7 linked regions of the Mus musculus genome follow. The protein of the gene in region 5 interacts with the protein of the main gene of each other region in a biochemical or structural test. Links are inferred from orthologs where the notes say so. Each region holds a gene or a part of one and is shown on either strand. Other genes may lie near its edges.

Evidence for each region.
Region 1: the proteins of Slc9a3r1 (region 5) and Abcc2 form a complex in vitro, tested with the Homo sapiens proteins (2 studies listed by BioGRID). The link is inferred for Mus musculus from reciprocal best matches to the Homo sapiens genes NHERF1 and ABCC2.
Region 2: the proteins of Slc9a3r1 (region 5) and Pdgfrb form a complex in vitro, tested with the Homo sapiens proteins (2 studies listed by BioGRID and IntAct, with this or other methods). The link is inferred for Mus musculus from reciprocal best matches to the Homo sapiens genes NHERF1 and PDGFRB.
Region 3: the proteins of Slc9a3r1 (region 5) and Abcc4 form a complex in vitro, tested with the Homo sapiens proteins (3 studies listed by BioGRID and IntAct, with this or other methods). The link is inferred for Mus musculus from reciprocal best matches to the Homo sapiens genes NHERF1 and ABCC4.
Region 4: the proteins of Slc9a3r1 (region 5) and Nf2 form a complex in vitro, tested with the Homo sapiens proteins (2 studies listed by BioGRID). The link is inferred for Mus musculus from reciprocal best matches to the Homo sapiens genes NHERF1 and NF2.
Region 6: the proteins of Slc9a3r1 (region 5) and Cftr form a complex in vitro, tested with the Homo sapiens proteins (9 studies listed by BioGRID and IntAct, with this or other methods). The link is inferred for Mus musculus from reciprocal best matches to the Homo sapiens genes NHERF1 and CFTR.
Region 7: the proteins of Slc9a3r1 (region 5) and Tbc1d10a form a complex in vitro, tested with the Homo sapiens proteins (2 studies listed by BioGRID and IntAct). The link is inferred for Mus musculus from reciprocal best matches to the Homo sapiens genes NHERF1 and TBC1D10A.

Annotation. Positions count from the first base shown.
Region 1 is NC_000085.6:43,823,197-43,827,450, reverse strand, and holds part of Abcc2 (canalicular multispecific organic anion transporter 1), read right to left. Parts: intron 4,114-4,254; coding exon 3,959-4,113; intron 1,617-3,958; coding exon 1,461-1,616; intron 868-1,460; coding exon 668-867; intron 1-667. UniProt on the Homo sapiens protein: ATP-dependent transporter of the ATP-binding cassette (ABC) family that binds and hydrolyzes ATP to enable active transport of various substrates including many drugs, toxicants and endogenous compound across cell membranes.
Region 2 is NC_000084.6:61,072,492-61,076,745, reverse strand, and holds part of Pdgfrb (platelet-derived growth factor receptor beta isoform 2 precursor), read right to left. Parts: exon of another isoform or gene 4,123-4,254; intron 4,117-4,122; coding exon 3,984-4,116; intron 3,506-3,983; coding exon 3,401-3,505; intron 3,119-3,400; coding exon 3,008-3,118; intron 228-3,007; coding exon 68-227; intron 1-67. UniProt on the Homo sapiens protein: Tyrosine-protein kinase that acts as a cell-surface receptor for homodimeric PDGFB and PDGFD and for heterodimers formed by PDGFA and PDGFB, and plays an essential role in the regulation of embryonic development, cell proliferation, survival, differentiation, chemotaxis and migration.
Region 3 is NC_000080.6:118,629,376-118,633,629, forward strand, and holds part of Abcc4 (multidrug resistance-associated protein 4), read right to left. Parts: intron 2,813-4,254; coding exon 2,723-2,812; intron 1,768-2,722; coding exon 1,604-1,767; intron 369-1,603; coding exon 243-368; intron 1-242. UniProt on the Homo sapiens protein: ATP-dependent transporter of the ATP-binding cassette (ABC) family that actively extrudes physiological compounds and xenobiotics from cells.
Region 4 is NC_000077.6:4,783,353-4,787,606, forward strand, and holds part of Nf2 (merlin), read right to left. Parts: intron 4,198-4,254; coding exon 4,092-4,197; intron 1,212-4,091; coding exon 1,084-1,211; intron 1-1,083. UniProt on the Homo sapiens protein: Probable regulator of the Hippo/SWH (Sav/Wts/Hpo) signaling pathway, a signaling pathway that plays a pivotal role in tumor suppression by restricting proliferation and promoting apoptosis.
Region 5 is NC_000077.6:115,173,144-115,177,397, forward strand, and holds part of Slc9a3r1 (Na(+)/H(+) exchange regulatory cofactor NHE-RF1), read left to right. Parts: intron 1-3,207; coding exon 3,208-3,369; intron 3,370-4,080; coding exon 4,081-4,234; intron 4,235-4,254. UniProt on the Homo sapiens protein: Scaffold protein that connects plasma membrane proteins with members of the ezrin/moesin/radixin family and thereby helps to link them to the actin cytoskeleton and to regulate their surface expression. Necessary for recycling of internalized ADRB2.
Region 6 is NC_000072.6:18,267,802-18,272,055, forward strand, and holds part of Cftr (cystic fibrosis transmembrane conductance regulator), read left to right. Parts: coding exon 1-627; intron 628-2,396; coding exon 2,397-2,525; intron 2,526-4,254. UniProt on the Homo sapiens protein: Epithelial ion channel that plays an important role in the regulation of epithelial ion and water transport and fluid homeostasis. Mediates the transport of chloride ions across the cell membrane.
Region 7 is NC_000077.6:4,212,872-4,216,212, reverse strand, and holds the end of Tbc1d10a (TBC1 domain family member 10A), read right to left. Parts: coding exon 3,314-3,341; intron 3,236-3,313; coding exon 3,170-3,235; intron 2,657-3,169; coding exon 2,467-2,656; intron 2,377-2,466; coding exon 2,222-2,376; intron 1,513-2,221; coding exon 1,060-1,512; 3' UTR 708-1,059; downstream 1-707.

The sequences.
Region 1 (4,254 bases), on a different chromosome or scaffold from region 5:
CCTGCCCTTAACAACTCAAGCCACTGAAGAATTTCTGTTCCCTGGATCTTTCTCTTTCAAAGGCATCCCTAACTGCTTGTCACGGTCTCCTGATTCCCAGTCTGCGCAGGTGACCTTCTCCCTTCTTGTCATTTGCATCTTACTAAACTTCCTGACTCCCCTCCCTGGGGCCTCTGCATCTTCATCACCTTTGAGCATCGTGCCTAGGAAACGTCTCATCTCCCAGCTCAGGGAACCAAACACAAGACGTTCAATTTACCCAGCAATTGAACGGTACTTGAGTTTTCAAATACTCACATATGTCATGTGACTTTTACCATCACTGTGAGACACACTGAAAAAGAAAGACAATGCTATCTCCTTATCGAGGGCATGGCAATTCACCTAGCTTGCTCAATATGGGCCTGGGATGAAGAACCAGTCTGTAACTCCAAAGTCCGTACTTTCTTCTTTCTATTTACATAGCTTGATAGGTCGTGTGTGTGTGTGTATGTGTGTGTGTGTGTGTGTGTGTGTGTGTGTGTGTGTGTGTATGTGTCCATCCGTGTCCATCCAGGATGCATTTTATACCACTGGCTATGCCTGCTCTCCCATGCCAAATGTCAGACTGTCAGACATGCAGAAATCTGAAACATTCATTTAGGTAAATCCTTAAGGGAGGCCTCACCGGTTGGAGGTAATCCAGGAAAAGACGCATTTCTGGTTGGTGTCAATCTGCTTCTCACTGTTTGCTAGAAATCTCTGCTGGTGCTCAAAGGCCCGAATAACAGGCAAACCAGAGACAGTCTCACTAAAGTGAGAATAGATCGGAGATTTGGTGACAGAATCCAGCCGTCTCAGCTGGCGGGATGTAGCCACATAAAACACCTGAACTCAAAAACCAAGAGTCAGTTAGTGACAGTCCCCTTCCTTCTCCCTCTCAGCGCTCTGCCACCAGGCTATATATTTTGAAGGCTACCCCTCAAAATAGGAGAGATGGCTCAGTGGTTAAAAGCACTGGCTGCTCTTCCAAAGGACCTGGGTTCAATTCTCAGCACCCGCATGTCAGTTCACAACTGTCTGTAATTCCATTTCCAGGGGATCTGACATCCTCACACAGACATACATGGAAACAGAACACCAATGAACGTTAAACAAACAAACAAACAAACAAACACCCACTTGCCACTTAACAACCTCATCTTCAACAACAACACATGACATAAAAGAATAAACGACATCAAGGAAATGTCTTGAATCCAAACATGTTCCCTACCCAAGCTCTCTGGGGGCAGCTTAGGGTGACACATGCTATGACCCGCACACTGACTCATACTGACAACTGAGCTCTGAGTGATCCCGTGCTTTCCTGGGCACATCGAAGACGCTGGAGAGGAGCTGCCCACGTTAAACCTAAGGGACGCGTCTCAGGGCTCTCGGAAGCGGAGGGGGGAGACCCCGCCTGTCTTTCCCAAGCCCACCTGCACAGATACATAGAGAATGCTGAGAGGGATGATGATGATGATGAAGATGGGGGTGGCCATGCAGATCATCACGAGAGTGCTAACTATGCCGAAGAAACACAGCAGCCAGCTTCGCAAAGTCTGGGGGAGTGTGTCGTCCACCGTAGAAATATCCTAGGGATACAGATTAGGAGAGACGATGAGCCAGTGAGCTTGTAAGATGTTGCTCATCTTCCCGATTCCAGCTGGCATGCTCAGGTTGTCTCAGTTCCTCGGGATTTTGCCATTTCATCTCAAGCCGTCCATTTGTAATAGATCATACCAGTCGTCCAAAATTAATCAGATCTCTGTGGTCTCCTTACTTTTCCAAATTCTTCCAGAGACCTACGGTAATAATCCTCAGCTTTCCCAATAGATCTGGTGGATTTCTCACTCTCTCATTCTCCACCTTCATTAGACCTACACTGCAAACTACTAGAGTCTTTCAGAGAAATCCTCATTTTACGGGTTCTCATCCTATTAAATACCCAGTAGAGAGTCTGGCACACAAGAGACATCCAATACGCACTTGTTTTAAAACTCTGGTGTACAAAGTTTTGTCTCCCACCTTTACGTATATTCCATTTATATCATGGAGTTTTAGAGGGAAAGGAAAGGGGGGCTGAATCTATCTCCCACTGCTCAGCGTCCCAGCCAAGGAACCCAGAAGCGGAAGATGGCTTAACTGCCATGTTGTCTCGTGTTGTGTGAAATAAACTGAGGAAACTAACGGAAGGGTAGATGGTTTGGAACGCGCTTAGAAAGCCTATTTTAGATCTTGGGTTGCCCTCCCCTGGCTTTCCTAGAGGACTTTGTTAATCCTATACATCAACCGTGCGAGGGAACACTAAGGCAAGTCCAGATGATTTCTGGAGTTTCCCAAGTTCAGCCAGGGACAAGAGCGTTCTGTAGTGGGGTGCTTCTGAGTCTATGTACCTGTCCCACGCTATGTCAGCATGCACATAAGTTAGCCATGTCGAGGGCTGGCAGATGAGCCAAAGCCTCACTAAGCCACCACTTCTACAAGGATTACTTTGATCCTCACCTATCTTAGATTCTCCACCTTTTTTTCTTCTTTCTTTCTCTCTCTCTCTCTCTCTCTCTCTCTCTCTCTCTCTCTCTCTCTCTCTCTCTCTGGTTTTCGGAGACAGGGTTTCTCTGTGTAGCCCTGGCTGTACTGGAACTCACTCTGTAGACCAGGCTGGCCTCGAACTCAGAAATCTGCCTGCCTCTGCCTCCCAAGTATACTCTCTCCTTTTTTTTAAGGACTCCATCTTTGTTTCTAGAAGACCCCACATCAAACTTGCTCACCGCCCTGAACCACCCCTGCAACATAATTTACTATATGATTGTGAGTTTTCTTTCTCAAGTAGGACCAGTCAGCAAATCTGATTGTAGTCTAACTAGCTCACAGGAAGACCCCAGAAGACAGACCATACATATAATGACACCAGAAAGACTGTAGAGACTGTCTAATCCTTCTGAGAAATATCTGCATCCAAGAGTATGTGCTCTTTACTGACTAACGGGCAGGCAGCCTCTAAGTGGTCTCCAATGGCAGCTTTGCTATTTCTACCTTATAGGTAGGAGGGAAATGGGAAGTTACCTGTCTACTTCCTAAGCGATTGCCGTGTGCTCAGATCCTGACTGTAGGCTACGATCCACCCACAGTGCAGGCCTATTCATTCATCTTATAAAGCGCTTTTACCCTTCCACAAGCAGAGAACTAAAAGCTGTGCTGACGACACTTCACAGTCATTCAGAAGTGCCTGGTTTCTGCCTCTAATCCTGAAGCTTCCACTTTGGATGCACTTAGAGGAACCAATGAAGGAAGCCATCTTCACATCTAATAGTACCAGGCTCATTGAAAAAAAAAAAAACAACCCAACCCAACTGATGGTAGAAAAGGGATGCCCAAGTGCCCCCAGCCCTGGGATCTGCGCAGATAGAAGCAGTGTTCGAGATCCCCTTTCCATACAGATAACCCAACCCAAAATCCAGACCTAACTTACTGGTCCTCAAAGCATTAAAAGTTTTGCGAATGGAGACAAGTCAAGGAAACAGGCACTGTACGCTCCCTTCCATTAGCCGTCCTGAGCAGCGAGCATGCTTTTCTGTGGCATCTCCCCTCCCCCTGTTCTATTGCCCACCCCCACCCCCACCACTACCATGCTCACTGTTTCTCTCACCTCCATGATTTCATATCAGCTTTTCTGATTGTCCCCATCTGCCATCTGGTTTGAGCTTGCTCTCTTTCTCTACCATTCCATTGTACCCAGAATGCCTCTGCACATGCCATTGCTGTTTTTAACCATACTGTAAGTCTTTGGAGAAATCCTTCACTAGATAATAAACTACTGAAAAGCCTGAGGTGTCCATCCGTAGGACTCCTCTCTCTCTCTCTCTCTCTCCACAATTCCACAATTAGAAAGACCCTCAGCATCTAAGCAAGAACCCTAGTGTATTGAGAAACTCACCCCGGCAAATCTGTTCACAATCCGGCCTGTGGGAGTTGTGTCAAAAAAACTCATGGGTGCGCGGAGAATGTTGGTTAACAGCTGCCTGTGCAAAGTTTTGGATGCATTTCTGCAAGCATATATACTCCATAGACTTGAACTAAGCAAAAATATACCTAGAAACAGAATCACCATTGTTAATACCATGCACCTGAAGACCTGTGCCTGGGGCACAATGGCAAATGCTTCCCTGAGTTGTAGGAAATGGACAGGTCCAGACAAATCCCATAGAGACGTCTATCATAGCCACTAGATAT
Region 2 (4,254 bases), on a different chromosome or scaffold from region 5:
TTGGACTCCTGGACAAGGAGCGCCCATATGCCTGGCAGGCACTCACTGGGTGCTGCCTCCCTCGTACCTGGGTAGGGAGAACCCCACTGGCAGGGCGTTGCTGTAGAGCTCAGCACTGGGCGGACAATGCTTGTTGGAGTGTCGCTGCAAGAAGGTGTGTTTGTTCCGGTGCAGGTAGTCCACCAGATCACCGTATCGGCAGTATTCCGTGATGATGTAGATGGGCCCTGCAGGAGGACAGGCTCAGGGACAGCCTCTGAGGAAGGCCTCAGTCTTCCCAGCATGACCACAAAACCAATATAGAGTCTTGGGTGTGGAGACACAGATAGCAAGATGGCAGAGATGCTGGCACCTTGCAAACCTGGGTTGTTTCCCTGCCTCTGTGGTTGTAAGCAAGCTGTTCATCTCCAGGGTCCTTCCTCTGTCCACCTGGCCAGGGGCTGAAATCCACCCTTGGGGTTGACATGAAGACCCCTGAGATGCCTTTGAGGGCTCAGCATGTAGCAAGCCTATGATATCGGTTGCTGCTGCTGTTTTCAGACTGGTACACATTTCGGATTCTGCTCTACATAGAGCAGGTGAACGTGACTGTTAGTGCAATTTGCTGATTACACTTAAGTTCAATGCACTGAGAGCCATCTAACAGATGAAAATAACACTTTTGAAATACGGTCATTGCCCCTGATATAGCTGCCTCTTGTGAGGCTATGCCAGGGCCCAGCAAACACAGAAGTGGATGCTCACAGTCAGCTATTGGATGGAACACAGGGCCCCTAATGGAGGAGCTAGAGAGAGTACCCAGTGAGCTGAAGGGGTCTGCAACCCTATAGGTGGAACAACAATGTGAACTAGCCAGTACCCCCCAGAGCTCGTGTCTCTAGCTGCATATGTATCAGAGGATGGCTTAGTCGGCCATCATTGGAAAGAGAGGCCCATTGGTCTTGTGAACTTTATGTGCCTCAGTACAGGGGAACGCCGGGGCCAGGGGGTGGGAGTGGGTGGGTGGGGGAGTGTGGGGGAGGGTGTGGGGGACTTTTGGGATAGCGTTGGAGGTGTAGATGAAGAAAATAACCTAATTTTAAAAAATTAAAAAAAAATCTTCCAAGCTGGGGCTTGCACAATACTAATTCCAGCTTTCAGCAGACATGTCTCAGTGAGTTTGTGGCCATTTTGGTGAATATAGCAAGTTCCAGGACAATTCGTACATAGATTCGGTCTCTCTACTGTTCCCCAAATAAAATCCCAAGAAAATTCTAAGTCTAATATCTTTACTGGTGAATTCTGTCAAACATTTAAGTATGAATATAATATTAGGGGTTGTTTTTGATTAATTTATACTTTTGATTGGGTGTTTTCTTCATTTGCATTCAAATGCTATCCCAGGAGTCCCCCAGACTCTCCTCCCCCGCCCCCACTCCCCTGCCCACCCACTCCCACTTCTTGGCCCTGGTGTTCCCCTGTACTGAGGCATATAGGGTTTGCAGGACCAAGGGGCCTCTCTTCCCAATGATGGCCGACTGGGCCATCTTCTGATACATATGTAGCTAGAGACACGAGCTCCGGGGGTACTGGTTGGTTCATGTTGTTGTTCCACCTACAGGGTTGCAGACCCCTTTGGCTCCTTGGGAGCTTTCTCTAGCTCCTCCAATATTAGTTTTAAACAATTACTTGAGAAAGTGGAGGGAGCTGCCTCCTTTATTTATAATGAAGTATGTTTTGCCTTGATAGAAATATAAAAGGCCTATAAGAGAAGTAGAACCCTCATGAATAAAGATACAAGAATTCTTTTTTTAAAAAAAGAAAAAAAAAAGAAATACGGTCATTGCAAGCACAGACAACAGTCCATGCGCAATGTACTTCTGTATTTAGGCTGATTACACAACACCGAGGAAAATCCCAGATCTCACAACAAGCAGCTGCAAAGGGCAATAACTTCATGATTATTACGATGTTGACAGCCCAGTGGGTAACCAGGCCCTCAGATCATCGCAGTTGGCAGAATGACTTCCAACACTGATGTAAACAAAGCCAGTTCCTGGTTAGTACATGGATGGGCTCTGTTACTTTCTCACGGTTTTCAAAATGTATTGTGGAAATATGAAAAAGGAGGTGGGAGGGATGGTCAGCTGTTAGGAGCACTTGTTCATGCAGACAACCTTGGTTCAATACCGAGCACCTACCCACTGGCTCACAACCATCTGTCACTCCAGTTTCAGAGGATCTGATGACCTCTTCTGGCCTTCTCAAGTACCAGACACACATACATATGCACGCACACACACACACACACACACACACACACACACACACACACAGGAACACTGACATACAGGCAAGACTTCATCATGAAGGCAGGCAGGCAGGCAGACAGGCAGGCAGGCAAGGAAGGAAGGAAGGAAGAGAGGAAGGAAGAGAGAGAATAAGAAAGAAAGAAAGAAAGAAAGAAAGAAAGAAAGAAAGAAAGAAAGAAAGAAAGGAAGGAAGGAAGGAAGAAAGAAAGGAAGGAAGAGAGAGAGAGGAAGGAAGAGAGAGAATAAGAAAGAAAGAAAGAAAGAAAGAAAGAAAGAAAGAAAGAAAGAAAGAAAGAAAGGAGACAGGAAGGAGACAGGAAGGAAGGAAAAAAGGAGAGAAGGAAGAATGAGAAAGAGAGAAAGAGAGAGAGAAAGAGAGAAAGAAAGAGAGAAAAAAGAAGGAAGGAAGGAAGGGAGGGAGGAAGGAAGGAAGGAAGGAAGGAAGGAAGGAAGGAAGGAAGGAAGGAAGGAAGGAAGGAAGAGTCATAAAAGACTTGAATTCTAAAGCTGCAGGAACTAGCGGCCTGAAGAATCTCTTCATCATGAAGGAGTTGTGATTCTGAGATCCTGAAACTAAGTCCATCTAGGACAGTGCAATAAGAACGCTGAGCGGCAGGTGTGTGGACATTCTGCTGGAGTGTCCTGTGTTGCTGGTGGACTGAGGGAGAACAGGAAAGAGAGGAGCCCCAGAATCCTCCAGGTTGTGGGTTCGGTACCTCCTTTGGTGCAGGCCCCCAGCAGGTTGACCACGTTCAGGTGGGGTCCAAGATGACTCATAATCTTCAGCTCGGACATTAAGGCTTGCTTCTCGCTACTTCTGGCTGTCGCTGGAGGGGGGAGAGGGACTCAGCCTGGGTGGGCCACTGAGGTGGTATAGAGGCCCTGCCAGGGCCTACTCTGCTTCCTCTGCCCCATCCTGTCACACCACCAGTGTCCTAGGGTGGACTGTATTAGAGAGGGAAGAAGGTGGGAGGCGGGGAGAGAAGGAGGAAGAAGCACCCTTCGGTCCCACAACCTCAGGGCCAGGCTCCTTCAGAAGAAACAAAAAGCCCAGGGAAGGGAGGGACCGAGTGAGGCCTCGGGTGTGAAGAAGGGGCGGGTGGACTCACATTTCAGCATCTTGACAGCCACTTTCATGGTGGCCTGCGAATGGCTCAGACCGTGAGCTGTGGCCTCCACCACCTGTCCGAAAGCCCCAGAGCCAAGAGTGCGTCCTAGGATGCATAGAGACCCTCAGCTCCTGGAAGCTAAAGCTTCAAGCTTCATCCCATTTCCCATTTAGGTTGGGGAATATTCCCTTAGATCACCCTCCACATCCCTCCAACCGCCCTACTGTGCTCCCCTTGGGAAGTTTCCCATCCTCTGGGTCTCCTCTAGATCCTGCATGCTATCTGCCTCCCCTGTAGTCCCTGAAAGACCTCCTGTCTCTTAGGGACACGCACAACTCCTTTGCACCTGCCTCAGACTCCCTGGCCTACATCCAAAGGACTTCCTCTTTGACCTGAAGGGGTCCCATATCAGTCTTGGGATCCCTGAGTTTTGGTGCTATGGGGTCACCTTATCTTCACCATATAGAAAGGATAGTGAGATCCAGAGGATGCAAGATATCAGCTCTATGCCTTAGCTAGTAGCAACCATGATGGGAGCAAATCTGAGTGTGCCCACTGCTGCTTAACACCTCTTAGGACTGACCCAGAACAAGCTGGTCCCGTGGCAGCTCCCAGGTGGAGTCGTAAGGCAACTGCACAGGGTCCACGTAGATGTACTCATGACCGTCAGAGCTCACAGACTCAATGACCTTCCATCGGATCTCATAGCGTGGCTTCTGCAGGACAAGACCAATAACAGATGAGACTGTCAGAGGGCATCTTTGGCCTTGAGCCTATCAGGTCCAGACCTTTAGATGGCAGATGAGACAAGAGACTCGGGCATCCAGCGAGGACAGGGATGTTTGAAAGTGATG
Region 3 (4,254 bases), on a different chromosome or scaffold from region 5:
CAGAGACAGACAGGTACGAACAAGAAGAGGAGAAATGCAGCTTTTGCCTGGGAATAATGGCACACAGAAGCCCAGGTTAAAAGGGATGTCCCAGGTCATTATACTTAACACTCTGCCACAGCAGGTGACCACATCATATCTGAGGTGAGTTACCAGGGAGATCAAAGAGAACTCTAAATTCATTCGGTAAAATTAGGAAATAGAAAAGTGCACAAGACAGTCCAGTCTACCCCAAGACTTACTTTCTCAGATTGGCAATGAGGTCAGCAAACGATTTCTCCCACGCATACATCTTTATTATCCTCATGCCTGTTATGACTTCATTCATGGTCCGGATCCTGGCATCCGTGAAAGCCGCAGTTTTACTCCTGAGGGGGACAGATGTGACAGATAAGCCACATGGAAGGCAGCCAACTTTTGTGTATCAATCACAGGCACAGACAGGGACCCAGAGTCAAAGGCGGTCCTCTGCTCCCACAGCATGGGTGGGTCCTACATGCAGCATGGGTGGGTCCTACATGCAGCACACACATAGAAGGCCGAATGAACAGTCAGCCACCTCTGCCAACTCTGCGTATTATGGAACATTGTGAATGACTGCTGAAGAAAACCCAAAAATGATTCTGGTATATTGAGGGGGGCACAAGGTACTGAAATCACCTACGTCTGACAGGACACAGTTGGCAGAGGTGGAAAGAGACAGGATCAGAAAGGCTGTGGAGCAGAAAGGCTTGCTCATCCTGCCGGGAAAAGAGTCAGCAGACAGCCACAGCATGTCAGGAGCTTTAGAACTGGCAGAGGACATTCAACACAGAGGAGACCACACAGAGCACAGGCTCAGAAGGAAAGAGCCTGATGCCTTCAAACGGTGTGGCATCTCCACCCTCATCCAGAGGCCTCTACGGAGACTGGCTTCGACTCCTGGAACCTGCTTCGGGCCATGGTCACTTCATGATCAATTCAGGCTTGTGTTAGCAGCCATGTTTCTGACACACACCCTGCTAGGATGGTGAGACTTCCACGAGGTTCTGTTAAGGTTGGCCCTGCGCCCTGAGAGTTTGTAATTCAATGGAAATACTGGAGTGAAAACAGCATACATATGCATACGGGAGCAGCTCCATAACACGCAGTGTGGATGAATCTATAGAACGTTGGGATTCGGACCCTGAGATGCCAATTGTCCTCTGACCTTCATATATGCACTGTGGCACATGTGCACCGTCCCCATAGACACACAACGGACGGACGGACGGATGGGTGGATGGATGATGGGCGGAATAAAATATACAAAATAAAATAATTGTGTTTACTACCACTTGATTTTAACAACATCTACATGCGTAACTTACAGCAAGGATGCTTTCTAAGTGGTTACACTGAAAAGCCAGCAGAGAGCAGCCAGCCAATACCTTCCCCCTTCCCCTTCCAAGACCAGCCCTCCGCTTATGGCTGGAGTACCCCCAGCTAAGCCTGAAGGGCCGGCAGCATATGCAGAAAATATAAGAAGTTTCTATTTTGTTTCTGGGTAGCAGTCTCAGGCAGGGGCGGAGAGGGGACTGGTGTTACCAAACAGGACATCTCTTCAGCCCAGCGTCCCTCTTACCGCAGTGACGAGAACAGCTTCCCGATGCAGCTTTGCAGAGGCAGAAGAATAACCAGAACGGCCAAGCCCGCCAGGCAGGAGATTCCTATCTCCACCCAGAGGAGGACGGTTACCGCGATGGCCTGCAGCGGCCCTGCCCACAGAAAGTGCAAGAAGATTGTCACCTGCAGATACAAAGCCCACACATGCTTAGGACTGTAAATAAAACAAGACAGGTGGGAACGCATGCCAGCAACATTATGCTCCAAACGGGAAGACAAGAATGCAAAGAGAACCGGGGCTCAGCGAGCGGGCTTAACACTGCTGAGGCAGAACCGTAGGTCTCACTGCAGATGCTACACTTGTGCGATGAACAGTAGACCGTGGTCCCTGTTATAAGATGGATAGACTGCACCATCCCAGAGACGGTCCCGATCTTTAATTCCTCGTGTGTGGAAGCGAACCCACCCTCTGCTCTACAAGTGAACTGCATCTCCCCTGGGTCTCCCCAGAAAAGCCTATGCTATGGCGCCTACCACACTCTGCAGGTGAGGTGTATGTCTGATGAATGAAAATCTGAAAGGGGAATGGTTGCTGGGCAGATCTGACCTAAAGCTAGAGTGATCAATCTGTAAGGTGACCGACCATAAAAACGGGTGTGGGCGAGAGCCGTAAATTCTAGCTAGGTAGCACCATGCGACATGCCCTATCAAACTGTTCCTATGAACCAGGTACCACATGGAGGGGGGCTGTACTGCACACTCCTGCCCTCCAATACTTGGGTCCTTTAGAAAAAGAGAAAGACAGACAGACAGCTGGCTGCTCCTCTGTCATGTGCTAAAAATTACTATGAGGAGGTAGCCCCTCGAGACTATCACTGCACTAACCAAGTCGGGAGGAATATTGCTCTCCGCCAACTCACTGTAGATGTGTGCTGCAGGCAACATCAGAAAAGCAAAACTGGGCTCTATGGGGTCAACACATCTTACCACACCTATGCTGCACACAGAACTGAGATGTGGCTTTAAAGTGCCTATGTCACAACTTCAGAAAAAATCCTAGTCTACACCAAAACCCTCACATTCCAACAGATTAAAAAGGGGGAAAATTGGGGCAGGAACTGACAGAGATGGAACGTACTTGGTCGAATTTGTTCACGTCGTTGGACAGCAGGTTAACTATCTGGCCTGTGGTTGTCTTCCCCATGGCCGAGTTACTTAACCGGAGTGCCTGGAATAAATGAGCAGAGTGGAGAATCAGATCCTGTCCTAACACTCTCGCAAGCACGGGAAAAAGAGAAACGCATGTTCATGGGGTCTTCTGTGGTGTAAAAGCCATGACGACAGCCCTAATGTCTGGCACCAACAGCAATATCTTCAAGGACAGCAACGGAGGTGAAGGAAGCAGGAGAAAATCAACTCATTCTTATTGATGAATGGCCACATGCCCCGTGTATGTCAGTGGACACTCCACAGCCTACCAAAGTAAACCAGCTCAGTAGGGAGACGGTGGAAGTAGAGAAAAATGCAGGATTTGTATGAACACTGAATGTGCTATTAATTCTTGGCCAGATATCACTTAAGTACACGTGGTCATGGCTTCTGCCTCCTGTATATGGAAACGGCCCTCGCTTGTCTCCAAGAGTCACAAATGAAAGAGAAGCGGCGCTTCTGTCTTGGGTATCTGCCAGAGACAGGGCCCAGAGGCACAGGAGGACCCACAATTGGGACATGGCAGAAGCACTTGTGATGAATTCAGTCTGAGGTCTCGGGCAGCAGAGCAGTGGACAGATACTGGGGAAGGTCTCCTTCTCCGGCATGGTGGCAGGAGAACAGGGGACAAGGAACAGCTTCAGGGGACAAAGGAAGGTGCCATGGATCAATGAGCAGCTTGTGAGACGTACAGAGGAGAGAAAGGTGGGGTGGCTAAGTAGAGAAGGCCCAAAGCTGATCTTGGAGGGGAGAGAGAAGTAGCTAAAGTCGGAACGAGAACCTGGAACAGTGAAGACGGTTTGTCTTGGGTTTTTGTTTTGTTTTGTTATTGTTGTTAAAAATTCATTTATTTTCTATGAATACACAGTAGCCATCTTCTAATACACCAGAAGAGGGCGTCAGATCCCATGACAGATGGTTGTGAGCCACCATGTGGTTGCTGGGACTTGAACTAAGGACCTCTGGAAGAGCAGTCAGTGCTCTTAACCATTGAGCCAACTCTCCAGCTCGTTTTTAACTTTAAGCTGGAGTGCACCACATTGCCAGATGAAGAGAAAACAAAGAGACTGCAGTAGACACCAAGGCAACAGGTAATGAATGACCAGGCAGCTATGTAAAGGCAAAGGAGAACCAGATATAAACAACACTAAAATACAAGTAACTCCATGCAACATGAGTTACCAACCATAAGACGGCCCGTCTGTAATTCTGACACTGGGAAGGCAGAGGCAGGAGGATCGCAGAAAGTTCAGGGCCAGCCTAGGCAGCAGAACAAGGTAAAGACCAGCAAGGCAAGGTGGAGAAAAGACACACTCCGTGGACGACACCATGCTCATGCAAATAGGAGAAACACAAATTGGCATTTCATGTTTAAAAAAGAAAAAAGCAAAAAATGAGGACATGAAGTCGGGCAAAGGTAGAAAGAGATCTAGAGAAAGAGTGGGGAGGGGTATGGTAAAG
Region 4 (4,254 bases), about 110 Mb from region 5:
TCGTCAGCTTCTTAGCTGTTGTCAGTATGAGGGGTCAAAGGAGGTTAGCCTGGCTCAGTGGTTCAGGCTGGTCTCCAGAGTAAGGGGTTTCAATCCTGGTCCTGCTTCTCATCAGCTATGTGGTGCTGGATGAACTCATCAAACTAAGTCTATTTTCCTTTATATAACTGCAACACTAAAATGTTTTTTGGAGTCTGGGCCTCATAGCAGTCCCGGCCAGATGTGAATCTGCTACGTAGCTGAAGATAATCTTGAAATTCTGATCCTCCTACCTGTATTTCTTGAGTACTAAGATTACCGGTGTATACAACCATGCCTGACTTACACTATGTTAGAGGTGGATGTTAGACAAGCACTCTATGAACTAAGCTATATTCCCAGTCCCTAAAACCTGCTTTTGATTCCAGTGGGATGTTTGTTAATTCGTGTGAATGAGACAAACACCAAAAAGCTACATGGAGACACAGGTGTCAATCCATGGCATCACTGTGATCTCTGCCAGCTGTAGCACTATTCTTCACTCCTGGCTCAAGAAATGAGAATGATCTTACTTAAGATTTCGTCCACAACGGGACTCCTCCTGTCCATCTCTGCTCCACTTCTGCTGCCCACAAAGGGAAGGGAGAGCATGTGACGGAAGTGCCTGTGATCTGGCTGGGCTCGGGGTCACCAGCATAGGGTTACTCGTCTCCCCTGGCCTCCTCCGGCTTTGCTCAGCCTAGGAATTTTTTTTTCTTTTACCTTCATTCTAGAACCACTGCTAAAGAAAACTGTATTTTACTATGCGAACAACAGTCTTAACTTGGGACTCAATACAAGCCAGTCCTATTTTTCAGACAAGGTATAAAACATAAATTTCAGGATACCATCTTAATCAAGTGTTAGTTTTATCCTGGGACCCTGACTGTTGTCTTGATCTGTTGTCTTTAATTTTTAATAATTAGAAACTTTGTTCTCCAGTGGGTGACAACAAAGCAAACCTTTGCAGGGGTAATGACTGGCTGCTGTTGTGACCTGTGACTCTAGGCCAGATCCACTCACTCATGCTCACGACTGACCCAGCAGGCCACAGAGGGTACATACTTTTCTTTCTCTATCTCCATGGAAAGTCGCTTCATGTCCGTATCCTTGAAGTCAAATGACAAGCTGTCAGCAATAATGTCGAAGCTCGGTATGTCAGGAGGCAGTGGTGGTGGAATTGGGTTCATGGGCTGTCAGTGAGAAAGCTCCTGTTAAGATGCTTAAATTACACAGGACAGAGACCTCTACAGTCAATACTGCCAGGTAAGTGGTCCCAAAGCAACCACAATCAGACAAGTCACCCTTCTCTCCTCAAACCTCATCATTTCTACGGTTCCTTGAATCAAACGCAAACTTTCACTCAGCTTCTCATTTAGGAAGCTCATTTAGGCACTGGGCTAGGAGTTGAGACACAGGAAGGAAGACAGGCTTCCTGGCTCTAAGCAGATCAAAGTCTTGTTCAGGAAGCAGATGTATTTGCAAATCCTCATAGTTAAGTAAGATGAACATGAGCCAGAGGAGGGACAGGGCGTATGAGGTTAGAGGGATCTGCCAGGGTACAGCTTCCTTGGGGATCAGTGAATGAGCCAAAGGAGAAAGGTGCCAGGCAAGAGGCATGCTGGTAGGCAGGGCAGACAGGATCCATCCAAAGCACTGGGCATCTCAAGTACCCTGTGGGGTGACTGGTAAGAGACTGGCTTCGGGTCACAAAGGCTTTGCTCGTATGGAAGGGGCTTAGATTCCAAAGACAGAGCCAGAAGAGTGCTTGAAAGGGGAAACCAGCTGACTTGTTTTCAGGATCTTTTCACTCCAGAACAGAAGGTCACCTAACCTACAGTCCCTACCTACCTCTCTAGTGTCCCTCATTATTTGTCCTGCTAAATCATAAACAGTACTACGTATTATCCCACACTTAGCATGTGTCCTTTCTTTCCCTCCCTGCCACTCCTTCTCTCTCTTCCTCCTTCCCTGTCATTTTCTGTGACATTAGGGATGTGCCACATGGCCAGAGCTGGTCTCAAACTGGTGAGCCTTCTGTGGTAGCTTTCTGAGTGCTAGCACTGCAGGTATGGGTCATAGCAGCCCAGCAAGGTCTCCATTCCCCTTTCAAAGTTCTCAATTCTTCCAGTCTCTCAGCAAAGCCCTTCGAGCCCTCTCACCTTCTACCCTGACAAAACAGCTGCTCATTCCCTTTGCAGTTCTCTGTCATGATGTGCATACTGCTGCCCCGCCCTTTCCTCAGCTCCACACTGCAGAGATTCCTCATGGGTATGTCTTTTTTCCTCCTAGGATCTTTTACTGAGTCTGGGACAATGTTTGGAAAGGAACAGAACCTCTCAGCCTTTATTTATGGCAGTGAGGTCTAAGGTAGGATGTATGGAGTCTGTCAAGTGTGCCCCTGAGCAGGATATCTAGGTCCTACATACACTGTTTTCAGGGCTGAATTCTGGGTAAATGAGAGAGTCTGCTCTGTTGACACTTCATCAAGCTGGACAGTTATAATCTAGGCAGGTCTATTTACCTTATACTTCAGAAATATTCTCAGAGCTGGGCAGTGGTGGCACACACCTTTAATCCCAGCACTTGGGAGGCAGAGGCAGGCGGATTTCTGAGTTCGAGGCTAGCCTGGTCTACAGAGTGAGTTCCAGGACAGCCAGGGCTACACAGAGAAACCTTGTTTCAAAAACCAAAAAAAAAAAACAAAAAAAAAAACCAAAAAGCGCAGAAAAATTCTCAGAAAGGAAGAACACTAGCCGTTACCCTTTTAGTGAGAGCAGAAACTGACACACCCTCTTTGGCAGGTGGCACAACTGAGTATCTGACCTTACAGGTCTAGGAAAACTGTCACGTCTGTGTGCAAAAATTTGTTGTTCAGTGCAGTTGTGTTCAAAACTGCTATAGGAAATACACTAAGTCCTCACCTATAGGGCCTGGCTGGCTGAGTCACAACCCACCCATTGACATGATATGATTAAGGAACTAGAGTGTGCTCCTCTGGAGAGACAGTGCTAAGGGAAAGTGCAAAAAGAAGAGCACTTTGAAAGTCTGCTCTAATGGCTGTTTGTTTTAGACACAGGTAATTCAGGTATATAGTCCAGGTGAGTGCTCAGACTGCCACAGTCCCAGCTGTCACCTGACTGTGACCATCTGATCTTGAGAGAAGACATGTGCCTTTAATACACTATGCCCAAGAGACAAATAATGGTGTTTGGGGTTATCTGTTGCCCAGGAATAAATAACAAGGACACATGGCAATAGCAAACCACTCACATTCCCCCAATTCAAACCCTGGGCTCTTATGCCTCTGTGTCCTGAATGCACCTGTGCCACATGTGAGTGTTCCAAGTGTACAAGTGTACAGTGTGCTCGTCATGTACACAACTACTCAGGGTGTGTGCAGCCTATGTGTGAATGGGTTATGTGTCTGTGCTGTGAATACACTCTGTCTTTGCCCAGAGTGTTCTAGCCTCTCTTCCCTGCCCGGCAGGGAACGCTGCTCTTCTGCAGAAGTCAGTCATGCCAAGCCTTTCCTGCCTCCAAGGCTGGGCTGTGATCTGGGCATATCTGTCAGGATTTCCAATTGGTGATATTATATGGCTAGAGAACAAGTTTGCAGCATGGGAAGGAAGGGGAACAATGTCTACTTATGATCCCACTTAGTACAAGTCAGCCCCCTGTCCCAAAACCGAGGTTGACAGCTGGTTCTGGCATAGCAGTAATTCACTCTGAGTTGTACAGGCAGTCCCTTCAAAGAGCTACACTGTAGCATATAATATATACCGACAATTGAAGATTATGTTTAGCTGACAGCAGGGAGCTAGACAGCAAATTCCCCTGAGGGTAGTGACTATAGCATAGTCGTAAACACTCTAGAGCTGGAAAGGGTTATCTAAGTAACAAGAGAGGTAACTGAGTAGTCATCCTAAAGCTAAATGGAGGATCCTATCTGGGCCCTGAATTTGCTTTTCACTCCAAAGGCACTGTGAGGTAAACTAAAGGATTTGGAGGCTTTTCCCAGAAAGTTGCCAGACCAAAGCAGCCAAAAGCTGCCAGACTGAGGCCAGGCTCACTGGATAGGTGGGCTTGGTGGCGATTTCTAAGAGCTTCTGCTTGGCTCTTCGCTCTGCTTCTCTGGCTTCTTGCAAGTCTTGCTTTAACTGATCAGCCTCCTTGGCCCTGCAAAGAATGAAAAAGATGTCAGCTCCACAGAAGGGGACAGGGAGAGGAGTAGAC
Region 5 (4,254 bases):
TCCCCATGTTGTGGTGACCCCAGCCAGAACATGTTTCTTGCGACTTTGTAACTGTAATGCTGCCACTGTTATGAGTCATGAGTATGCTACGTAGGTGTGCTGGTTATGTCATATGACCCCTGCCAAAGGGTTGTTCAACTCCCCCAAGAGAGACCCACAGGTTAGGGACTGGTCTGGAGAATTCTGAAAGGGACCCATTAGTACTGAAAGTCTATGAGTGCTAGGTGGAGTGGGGCTTTCTGGGTAATACTACCCACCCTGCCCTGCCCCCCCCCCCCCCCCCCCCGAATCAGCCGGGAGCCTCGCAGAGGGAGTTAATAGAAAATGTCCTATCCCCTTAGGCAGGATCCTCCCAGTCTTCCTGGTCCTCCTGTTGCTAAAAGGATGCAAAGTGGACCTTTGAATTCTGACGGTAGGCGTCACTAGAAAAAGGGACACTGAGGTGACACTTGCTGAGGAGCACTGGGAAAAACCCAGAGCACACACTTGAAACCCGGAAGGTGGTCATAACAAGGCAATCTAGCCCAGCCCTGCCGACTCGGGAGTCACCTCTTCTGAGCCCTCAGCCTGGTTCTAGCCACAGTGCCAGCCTGGGCTTGCTCACAGCCCCGTCACCGGGCCAGGCTTTATCCTTCCACTCGGGCTGGGGTTTTGACTGAAAGAGGTGTGGAGCCCCCGGAAGGAAGCCTGTGGTTTGGTTTCGTGAGCTCCCAGACACCCGGTCAATGTGAAGGGAGCCTCCACTGTCTGTCTGTCACTAGGCTTCCCTCCAGATGGGCTGCCTGGCTCTGGACCCAAAGCTTAAGGACAGACAAACTGATGTGGTGGGAGTAAGGCAGGCAGCTCCCCAGTGAGACTGCTGTGGGATGTCCCGGGTAAGGGAACCCTAGGGGGAGGGTGGGGAGGAACCTGAGGCAAACTGAGATTCCACAGACTGAGGGCCACAGGAGGTGTGTGGCTGAGGCAGAAAGTTGAGCCTGTCCTGGTGGTAACAACTGGTCAGACCTGTTTCAGCTAACCTAGGCAGCCTGGGGGAGGGCCCGATGGCAGCTCCATATGGGGGATTAGCTGGAAGGAAGCGAGTCCTCACTCAGAACTCCCTGGCGCTGGGAGGGCCGCAGGAGGGGCTAGGTCCCAGCAGGGTGAGGAGGGGCCTCCTGTGGCTGCCTTCTCTTGGCTGCCCATTTGGTTGTCTTTGCTGTTTGGGGTGAGTGGTAAATAGCCACTGGGGAAAATCCCAAGTATCAACTTCTGCCTCCACAAACCCATCCAACATCCTGAAACAGGTCCACAGTGCCGCCCAAGCATCCTTCTTCCACCTTTAAATTTTACTCTGTGTGTGTCTGCGTATGTGTGTGTGTGTGTGTGTGTGTGGTGTGTGTCTGCGTGTGTGTGTGTGTGTGTGTGTGTGTGTGTGTCTGCGTGTGTGTGTGTGTGTCTGCATGTGTGTGTCTGCGTGTGTGTCTGCGTGTGTCTGTGTGTGTGTGTCTGTGTGGTGGGTGTGTGTCTGTGTGTGTGTGTAGGTTGCAGAGTGCCATGGTCAGAGGACAACCTGTGGGAGTCATCTCTCTGTCACGCGGGCTCTGGAGATGAAACTTAGGTGGTCTTGGCAGCAGCAAACACCTTAACTGGATGAACAGTCTCTCTGGCCTTCTCTCCCACCCTCCCTTGCCTTTTGTACCCCCCACCTAAGGATTTGGGCTTCTGAGCAGCCTAGTACACTACCCTCCCCACCCAGCATCTCAGGGTTACGAGACTGTTCCCCAGGAGCAGGGACAATAGCAAAGTGTTGGTATGCAGAGGGACTTAGTGAGGACAATGGCTACATCCAGGTCTGCCCGAGCGACTGGGAGCTCCCTAGTGTCCCTTTATACTGTGTCATTATGTCATTGTGCCTCAAAGGCAGCCACCTACTGAGGGTAGGCAGATAGCAATAAGCACCTTCTAAAAAGGAAGACCGGGAGGCTCAGGAAGGGAAATGATGCGCCCCAAGCCACAGGCTAGTCAGGAAGCCCCATGGGGTAGGTGGCAACCTAGGATTAGCCAGCCAGCCAGTGTCCCAACAGGCTGCCAGGACTTGGAGCTAGGGTCAGAGTAGTGCTTTGGCTCCAGCTTCTACAGGCTCGCACCCTGATTCTGGCCATCTGTCAATCAGTGTGAGCATCAAGAGTCCACCTGTCAATCAGTGTGCCTGTGAGCATCATCAAAGCTATGGCACGGAGCTGAGCCGCCGCTGAAGAGAATGAAAAACGTTAAAAGTTGTTCCCAGCTGAGTGCACAAAAGACAGCTAGCTGTTTGTGTCCTTTGGGAGGTGGGTCAAGGCACACACTACTGAGTCTCACAGCCTGACCAGGACCCCCCCCCCCCCCCCCGCATGGTGTCAAGAGAACCAACTCTTTAAGTTGTCCTCGGGCCCCCAAATGTTGTGGATTGTGGTGTATGTGTGCTCTCTTTCCCACACGAAATACTTTTAAATGAAAAGTGACAAACTCTGCTTTCCGGGCCACAGTTTTTTATGACGTTGGCCCTGCCCCCGCTTTTCATGACCTCCTCCCCATATGAGTCCTTGGGGATTAGTGAGTGGCACCCCACCCATCCTGCCTCCCCCCACCCCTGTTCTGTTGCTCCCTATGTCCTGGGCTGGATACAGAGCTCCTGAGGATGGTCCCATCCACCCCAGGTCCCTTCACCCCAACACCTACAGGGTTTCAGGTTATCAGTCTCACATTTGGCTGGGCCGTCTGGTTCACTGGGGTCAGGAAGTGGGCCCACAAGAGAAGAAAGGCTTTACTGTAAACAAGCTGTCTGCTTTCAGTAAAACAGCTATCCTTGCCTTCACAGCAGAGACCAGATACATGGGCCAGGTGCCCACTCGTGAGCCTCAAGTATCCAGCCAGGCCTAGGAGGCCCAGATGAGCCTTGGGTGGGGCAGGGTTCCACCCAAGTAAGACCAAAACATGTAATAGAATGACAGAGAGGCAAACTAGCCTCGGCAGGGACAGCCGCTTGTCCAGAGCTGCGCAGTCTGCTTCGGTGCACATCTTCTGAACCCTGGACCAGATTCTCTTGTATTGCTTTCGAGTCTCCGGTCACCATTGGATCGTTCCAAATCCTTCTAGGTGGGGAGGTAGAGTTGGGCAGGGGTAGCAGAGAAGACAGGGTTGGGATAATATGGAATGACATGGGCACTTCCTACATCCCCACAGCGCGAGCTCCGGCCCCGGCTCTGCACCATGAAGAAAGGCCCCAATGGCTATGGCTTCAACCTGCACAGCGACAAGTCTAAGCCAGGCCAGTTCATCCGAGCAGTGGACCCAGACTCACCGGCGGAGGCGTCTGGACTCCGGGCCCAGGACCGAATTGTGGAGGTGATGTCCTGTACAGTGTTCGCTAGGCTCTACCTTCCTAATCTTTGGTGTTAGGGGACAGCCTTACACCATATGTGGCTTGGTTAGCCCATGGGAAATGGCCAGCACAGAGATGCTAGGAGGAGAGGGAGGGGAAGCTGGAGTAGCAAGTGGGCGCATGGACAGGCTGGCTGGCTGGCTGGCTGCTTTTCCCATCTCGGGTTCTAGTGTACCAAGTATACACTCAATGCACAGGATTTACCAGCCAGAATCCAGACAAATGCCACGGGCTTCCCTAGCAGCCTTCCTGATACCTGGTGTGAGGCGAGGTTAAAACCCCTCTCCTGAGCTCAGCTTCGAGACACCCCGTTGTTCGGCTGTGCTCTGAGAGGAAATGTGAACTAAAGGCTTGGGCTGCTCCCAGAATCACAGTCTGAGAACCTTAGAGCCACAGATCAGCCTTCCAAGACTTCTCACTTTACACGTGAGAAAACCAAGGCCCAGAGCGGGAGGTCGGAGGCGAGCTCAGCCCAGGCTCCCAGGCCTCTCCTCGCTCACAGCTGTGTTTGTGTAGTCTCCTCTGGGTATTTTCTTTGGCTTTTCCCATTTGTCCTGCTTCCCAGCCGACTGTGCGAGAATCACTGGAGGCACGTGAGGGAAGGCAGTGTTCTCAGGTGGGGTTCCCTCTGCCCGCTCTCCCCAGCATCCTGTCTCTGCCCTGCCTCCTCGCAGGTCAATGGTGTCTGCATGGAGGGCAAGCAGCACGGGGACGTGGTGTCCGCCATCAAGGGTGGAGGTGATGAGGCCAAGCTGCTGGTGGTAGACAAGGAAACAGATGAGTTCTTCAAGAAGTGCAAAGTGATCCCATCCCAGGAGCACCTGGATGGTGAGTTCACAGTCAAGCCA
Region 6 (4,254 bases), on a different chromosome or scaffold from region 5:
CTAATTTTGCATCAGGGCAGTAGCTATTTTTATGGGACATTTTCTGAGCTACAAAGTCTACGTCCAGACTTCAGTTCGAAACTCATGGGGTATGATACTTTTGACCAGTTTACTGAGGAAAGAAGAAGTTCAATTCTAACTGAGACCTTACGCAGGTTCTCAGTAGACGATTCCTCTGCCCCGTGGAGCAAACCCAAACAGTCGTTTAGACAGACTGGAGAGGTGGGAGAAAAAAGGAAGAACTCTATTCTAAATTCATTCAGCTCTGTAAGGAAAATTTCCATTGTGCAAAAGACTCCATTATGTATCGATGGAGAGTCTGATGATCTCCAAGAAAAGAGACTGTCCCTAGTTCCGGATTCTGAACAGGGGGAGGCTGCTCTGCCGCGCAGCAACATGATCGCCACCGGCCCCACATTTCCAGGCAGAAGAAGACAGTCTGTTTTGGATCTGATGACGTTCACACCCAACTCAGGCTCCAGCAATCTTCAGAGGACCAGAACTTCTATTCGAAAAATCTCCTTAGTCCCTCAGATAAGCTTAAATGAAGTGGATGTATATTCAAGGAGATTATCGCAAGATAGCACACTGAACATCACTGAAGAAATTAACGAAGAAGATTTAAAGGTATATACCCGTCAAGTCTTAAGATACATCTCATCCTAACCCCATAATTGGAGTAAATTTTGTCACATACTATGTATTTCATGGCATCCCATTGTGGTCTATGGGCTAAGGATACAAAGTCCATTACCTGTGTAAGCAACTTGAAACATAAAACTATTTCTGGTTATCATTGAAATATCATCCCCACCCCACAAATGTGTGGTAAGCCAAAACAGGGCCTCAGTGTTGAGTTTTTCTACTAGACTCATGAAATGATATTCACTTTTATAACTTAATAATTGTCTCCTTTAGTGTTTTTCTAGGAAAAGGCGGAATAGAGTATTATATAAACAAATACTTGCATTTATGTAGACACCAAAAAGTGTTTTTAAGGCATGGCCTTGATAAGGATTACACACACCTGGCTTCTTGACAAGATAAATTCACATTCCTGCCTGCATTTAGTTAGCATATATTTTCTAACCTTTCAGATTTGTGTTGTGTTTTTTAAAGGGTTTCTCTAAGGAAGATATGTGCAGCTCGGCATATATTAGTGACAGTAGTCAGATTAAAGTTCTTAACTCTATGTGTTAAGGAGCAAAACGACCTCTCTTAAAATAGAAAGCAGTGGAAAACAAGAGGGCGATTGTTTACCAGTGGATGTACCTTAGATGAAGTTAAAGCAGAGTCCTAGTGGATGATATATTTAATGGTGACTGTCTTTAATATAAAGTTAACTTTTGGGCAGTTGCAATTCATTTAGTATCTCTGGGCCTGAGTTCACTCTGTTGTGAAATAAAGGAATAAGTAATTCTCAAAAATATATGCTCGATATTTCTATAATCTAAAACTGATTTGCTAAAAGATAATTCATCTATATGATTTAATATCCATCTAAATAAAATTACCAAATTGAAGTATATACATTTTGGTTTGTGTGCATTTTAAAGAATGCTTTCTTTACCTGATTTTGTTACTAAGTTATCAATTATTTCACCTTCCAGGCAACACACTTTTTGTCTCCTTCACTGTGACATCATTGTCCCTATTAACAAAGAAATAAAATAAAGTTCTGAGAAATTCAGTATCTTCATACATTCAAACATCCTACGATGTTACCATTTGGTCTTGATTTTAAATAAAGGGCAGTTTAGTTCAACAATCTAATTTTTAATCAGTAAACCTTATTCCAGGTTAATAGGCTTCCTTCTTTGTGAGTCTAATGGCACTTAATGAACTTCATGGATTTTATGAGGGCATCGTTTCCCTTTAGAATATATAGACTCTCTTTTTCTCACATTTTTATAATGTAGCTTCCAAAAGACAAAGGCTTTTAGAGGCTGTATTTGGAATTGGATTTTGTAACTTAAGTTGTAGCTAGAAAAGCAACCATGTAATGCCTAAGGACTATACAAATATAAGCCAGCTTCTAAAATAGAAGACTCAAGTAGCTAGCAAATTCTACATTGCCCTTGTCTCTGGCTCACTGAATCAAGCTCAATCATGAAGAGTTTGGGAGCTTCACTCATTTGACAAAAGGTGTGGGCTGTAAAGCATTTACATGCTAAGGTTTGGGAAGTCTCACTGTGTTTGGTACTTTATAAACTATATTGCTTGAGCAGACATCCTATTCTCTGTGGCCATCATCACCCGTGGCATTTTTAGTGGCTTTTATTTTTTAAAGATCCTTGGCTGTAAATGGTACTGTTCCCTTATTTCCCTGAATTCATAATAAAAGCTCAGTGGCAGCATGGAGTAGGATTGTCTCAGAATCACACTTCTTTTCTCAGGAGTGTTTTCTTGATGATGTGATCAAGATACCCCCGGTGACAACATGGAACACATACCTACGATATTTTACTCTCCATAAAGGCTTACTGCTAGTGCTGATTTGGTGCGTACTGGTTTTTCTGGTTGAGGTAAGTATGTTTGTTTGGAAATTGTCACTGTGAGTTTAAATTTAGGATAAAAAAGCTGTATGTATTCATATGAGCATGTACACATGTGTATGTGCATGTGTACAACGGTAGTTTCCTGTAAAGTTCATCGCTTCTGAAAACCAAGAGGAGCTGACGAGGCAGCTATGTGGTTAAGGGCACTGGTTGCTTTCCCAGACAACCTAGCCAAATTCCCAGACCCCACATGGTGGTTTACAGCATCTGTAACTGAAGTCTCAGGAACCTGGTACTCTTTTCTGGCCTCTGTGTGTACAACATGTGTGTAGTACACAGATGTGTGCAGGCAAAACATTCATACACAGAAAAATAAGTTAAAACTTTTTAAAATCCACAGTTAGAATTACTATTGATATTTTAGTACTTCAGACATAAGGAAATATGCATAAATACAAATGCTATATATGATGAATTGTCATAAAATAAAATTTATTGGGAATATTTTTTATAATCAGCATATTTTGATTCATAAGTATTGTAAAGAGATTACTATAACAAAATCAATAACATAACTATGTCATCTCAAGTAACATTTTTTGTTGTTTTTGTGACAAGGGGTCCTAAAATCCACACATCTAACAAGTAAAATAATAGTTTGTTATTTATAATCCTCACATCATTTATTACACCTCCATACATTTAGTTTTTAACAGATTCAGAAGCCCAACCTACAAAGAGTGAATATGAGTTGAAGTTAAGTACTGAAAAGAATTCTAGATGTCCATCTAGATGATCTAATGAGGCAGGCAGTGACTCATGTGGTAATGATCCTTACTTGCCTGCTGTACCTTTGTCTCAGGCAGTGTTCATCGAGGGAAGCTTTCACAATGATGTAATTACTTCATTGTGTGCTGACCTGCTGCACAAGAATGCAGTATTAGTCACTCTATTATTTTTCCTGTTGCCATGATAAAGCACCTAAAAGTTAAGGAAAGGAGATATATATGTGCTTTCTGTTTGAGGGAACATATTCCACAGAGGCTGGGAAGGCATGATAGCAGAAGTAGCAGGTTGGTAGGTCATATTGCAAGCACACTTTGGAAGCAAATAGTGAAAAAGTGGGGCCAGGCTGTAAACCTGAAGGCCTGCTCAAGAACCGAAGGATTCCATAGCCTTCCTAAACAGCACAGTAGCTTGAGACCAAGTATTCAAACACAGGAGTCTTTAGCACATTTTACATCCAAATCATCAACAGTCACCTGAGGGGAAAAAAAAGACATTTTGGGAAAGGAAGTCAGGGGACAGGGGCAGGGTTCATAGTGGACAAAATTCAATGATGCACTTGTCAGAAAACAATCTAATGGTGTGCTTTTCTTTCTTTTCGTCTTCCTTCCTTCCTTCCTTCCTTCCCTCCTTCCTTCCTTCCTTCCTTCCTTCCTTCTTTTCATTTTTGTCAGTATCTTATAGGCATTGTCCAGTTAAATAGCTCTCAAATGCTAGATTAAAAGAAAGCAATGATATGCACAATTTTACAACTAAACAACATATTTGCTAATGTTTATGTTGTTTTCCTTCAATCAAAATTTACATAGACTTTGTTTAAGTCTAAACTTTTTTTCTTTGTGTCAGTGCCAATGTGTAGATTTCTTTTGGCTACTGGAATGTTTCTTGGTACATTCCATCATGGAACAGGTGCCAATCCACAGTGGCAGTTTAGTTTTTAAAGCACTGTTTAAGTCCTAAGTGACAAGAA
Region 7 (3,341 bases), about 110 Mb from region 5:
TGAACTCCTCTTATGTCAGACACAAGCCCAGCCTGGCATGTGGACCGTGTCAGCCAACAGAAAGTAGCGCTTTATCAAGGAGGCCCACTTCTCCCCTCACCTGTCTTTCTTTGGTGGAGGCTTGTGTCAGGCGCCTGCAGTACCTTGCCCTGGCGGCAGCCCCTGATACTGTGTGAGTGCTCACAAGTTAACTGGGGTCTTAAGTGAGCTCCTCATCTCACCACGGCAAGTGTGGACAGAGTGGAGAGCCACAGGGCTGAGAAGCAGGAGGCAGAGAATGTGAAGCTGCCCTGAACCTCAGGTAACCATTCGCCTCTCCAGACTCAGTATTCCCAGCTGTACCAGGACAATGCAGCCTAGGCCCAGGCAACGCCTGGAAGCTCCTCCAAGTCTGTTTCTCCCTACTCCCTGCTATGGTCAGCATCTAGGTCTGGCCTTGGAGCCTTTAGCTACCTCTTCAGGATCTTACCCCCAATCCCCAATAAAGAAGCACAGAGCAAGGCCTTGGGGACTATTTCCTGTTCTGCCCAGTGGTGGGCTTTAGCCTGGACTGACTCTTCTGTGTAGAGGTGAACATGGAAGAAAGATGGGTCGAGAGAGAAGAGCCAAGAACAGTAATTGGCTCTGGACTCCGTGCTCCTGTATGTTTCAGGGGGGCTCCCGGGATGAAGGGCGATAGCCCTTTGGGTCCTAACTATACACAGCTCTATACACAAGCCTGTTTATTTCCGTACAAAACCATATATCTATTTTACACAAAGAGTACCCCACCGCCTCCCCGCATGCCAGCACCCTACCCCTGGGTAACATCTCCCCAGAAGGATGGGGCTGAGACCCAACCCCTTTGGCCACAGCTTCTGCCTGTGCTGGCTGGACCAGCTCAACTCAAGAGAAAATAAATAAGGAGGCCCAGGCAGACTCTGTACTGGACCAGCCAGATCCTATCCCAGCCCACGGGCCAAGCAGTTGGCTCCTCAGGCGCAGAGGACCTGGAGTGTTGTCAGTCTTTGAACCGTGTAAGACGTGAGAAGACCCCCGCGGAGGCCTGAGCTCCCGGGGTTACAAGTAGGTGTCCTCACTCTCCTGGGAGGTCAGGCTCTCCTGGGAATGGTGGCAGGCTAAGTTCTGAGGAGTAGGGTCCTGGGGGACCGGGTCCTTTGGGGACACACCCTGAGGAGGACATGCATCTCCTGCAGCAGTCACCACTGTGGCTTGACTGAGGCCTGGGGACTTGTCCAGTTGCGCACTGGTCTTTGTCCGCTTCTGCTCCTTCTGGGCCTGCTTGTGCGGCTTAGCCTTGGAGCTGAGGAGGGCTGCATCTGGCGGTAGGCGGATGGAAGGTGAAGGTTGCAGGGCAGGCCTGGGACCAGGCTCTGCATCCAGGATGGCTTTGGCACCATGCATCCTGGGCAGAGAGCGGCACTCCAGCTCACCACGCGTCTCTTGCCAGCGCCGCAGCTGGATGAGGTGCTCCCGCTCAATCTGGCGCTCCGTCACAGGCAGCTCTATCACCTTTGGGGCAATGAGGAGCAGGTGAGCACCGGAAGGATGACCTTCCCCTCTGCTTTCCTGCCCACCAGCTTCCCTTACCTGTCTGCTAAAGGGAAGATATCATTGTGGTCTGAGTGCCAAACATGAGAGCCACGGTCTCAGAAGAGACACTACCTATAGCCCACACACCCCTCTCTCCTTACATCTAGGACAGGAGGCAGGGCAGAGCTGACATGGGCAACCCCACTCTTAGCCAGTATGTCACCTACTGACTAGGGCAGCCTGGCTCCAGTTCCAGCCCTATCACTTTTCAGCTGGTGCCAAAGGAAAGTCACTTTGAAATTTTGCCTCTCTGAGCCCTACTTCCTCAAGTGTAAAATGGGGTCAGTGCTGGAAGTGGGCACAGATGACCTTGTATGTCTGCCCCTGCTACATGCACTGTCATCAGCCTGGCCATGATCCCCCATAGAAGCTGGCCATGTATGTATCTCTTCATTTGTAGCCTCTGAAAAACAAGTATCCAAAAAGAAAACTGAGGGGGCTGTAGATCACAGCTCTGCTCTGTTCCCAGAGTGGAGTGGCCTAGCTAGTGGGGACACTTCACAGTGCCTCTTGTCCCTGTCCACCTCGCCTGACCTGGCCTACCAGTCAACCCTTGGGGCAGGGCCATACAAAGTCAACTGCCAGCTTCCCCTCCCTCCCATAGCAGGTGGGAGACGCAGGTCCGCACCTCCTGAACCAGGAAGGCTTCCTGCATGATCTTGGGGCTGAGGCTCCGCAGCTGCTCGATGGTTTCATACTGGCCCTGGCAGGCTTTGAGCTTCTCTGGGGAGCCCAGTGCATGCTTCAGTAGTACCAGCCCCACGCGGAAGATGATCTTGACTCCTGTATGGGGCGGGGCGGGGAGGCAGGTGATGAGTTCAAGGAGGCTTGGGGCTTCTTTTGCACCCCCCACTATCCACCATAGTCTGGTACCTTCACAAAAGAACATGTCCCAAACTCGCAGCACAGAGCTCCAGGGCAGCGTGCGGGCAAAAGCACACATGAACCACTCTGTCATGTACAGCAGGGGATCAATCTTCTGGCGGCTGAGGTGCTTGTGAGCCACAGGGGACACCTTCTGTAGCAGTGAGAAGAGGATCTCGCCGTCCAGCTGGATTGCCTCCTGAAGAGACATCAAGGCCACAGAGCCATGACCACAGCCCCCTGTGAGCTCTTAGTACTGGGCCAACATGGAGTAATTCATCAGGTAGCCAGAGCCTATAGAGCACTGGCAGACAGACGGACAGACCAGACACAAGACGGTCCCCTCAGGGAGACTGAAATAGTCCGTGGACACAGAATGGGGGAGGGACAATGGGGCTGAGTGTCCCAAACACTACAGGAATGGGAACTCCTGCTTGTCAAGGTCAAGGAAAGCTCCGCGCATGGGGTGAAGGCTGAGGGAAAGGCATCCTGGCGGGACAGAGTGGAGCTGCAACAAGCTCTTCGGCCAAGGTCAATGAGGCATGGCCGGGAGCCGAGGCACAGATGGAGGTGAGCGTGTAACTGGTACAAGAGTGGCTTCTATCAGGCCTTGGGGCTTTAGCCTGGGGTGGCTATGAGTGAAGGGGGAGGGCCTTGGAGCAGCCACAGAAGGCATTCAGCCTGGAGCATCTCAGGCTATGTAGGTACTCACCAGTTTCTCACTGTAGTAGCCAGGCAGGTACTTCTCACAGACTTGTACCAGACACCAGAAGGCTTGCTGTGGGTGAGAGAGGCGTGAGCCCTTGAGGCTGGAATTAGGTCCCAGTGCCCACCCGCCCGCCTAGGTCCTAGGTACCTCAGCAGGCATGTGCATGAGGAGCACA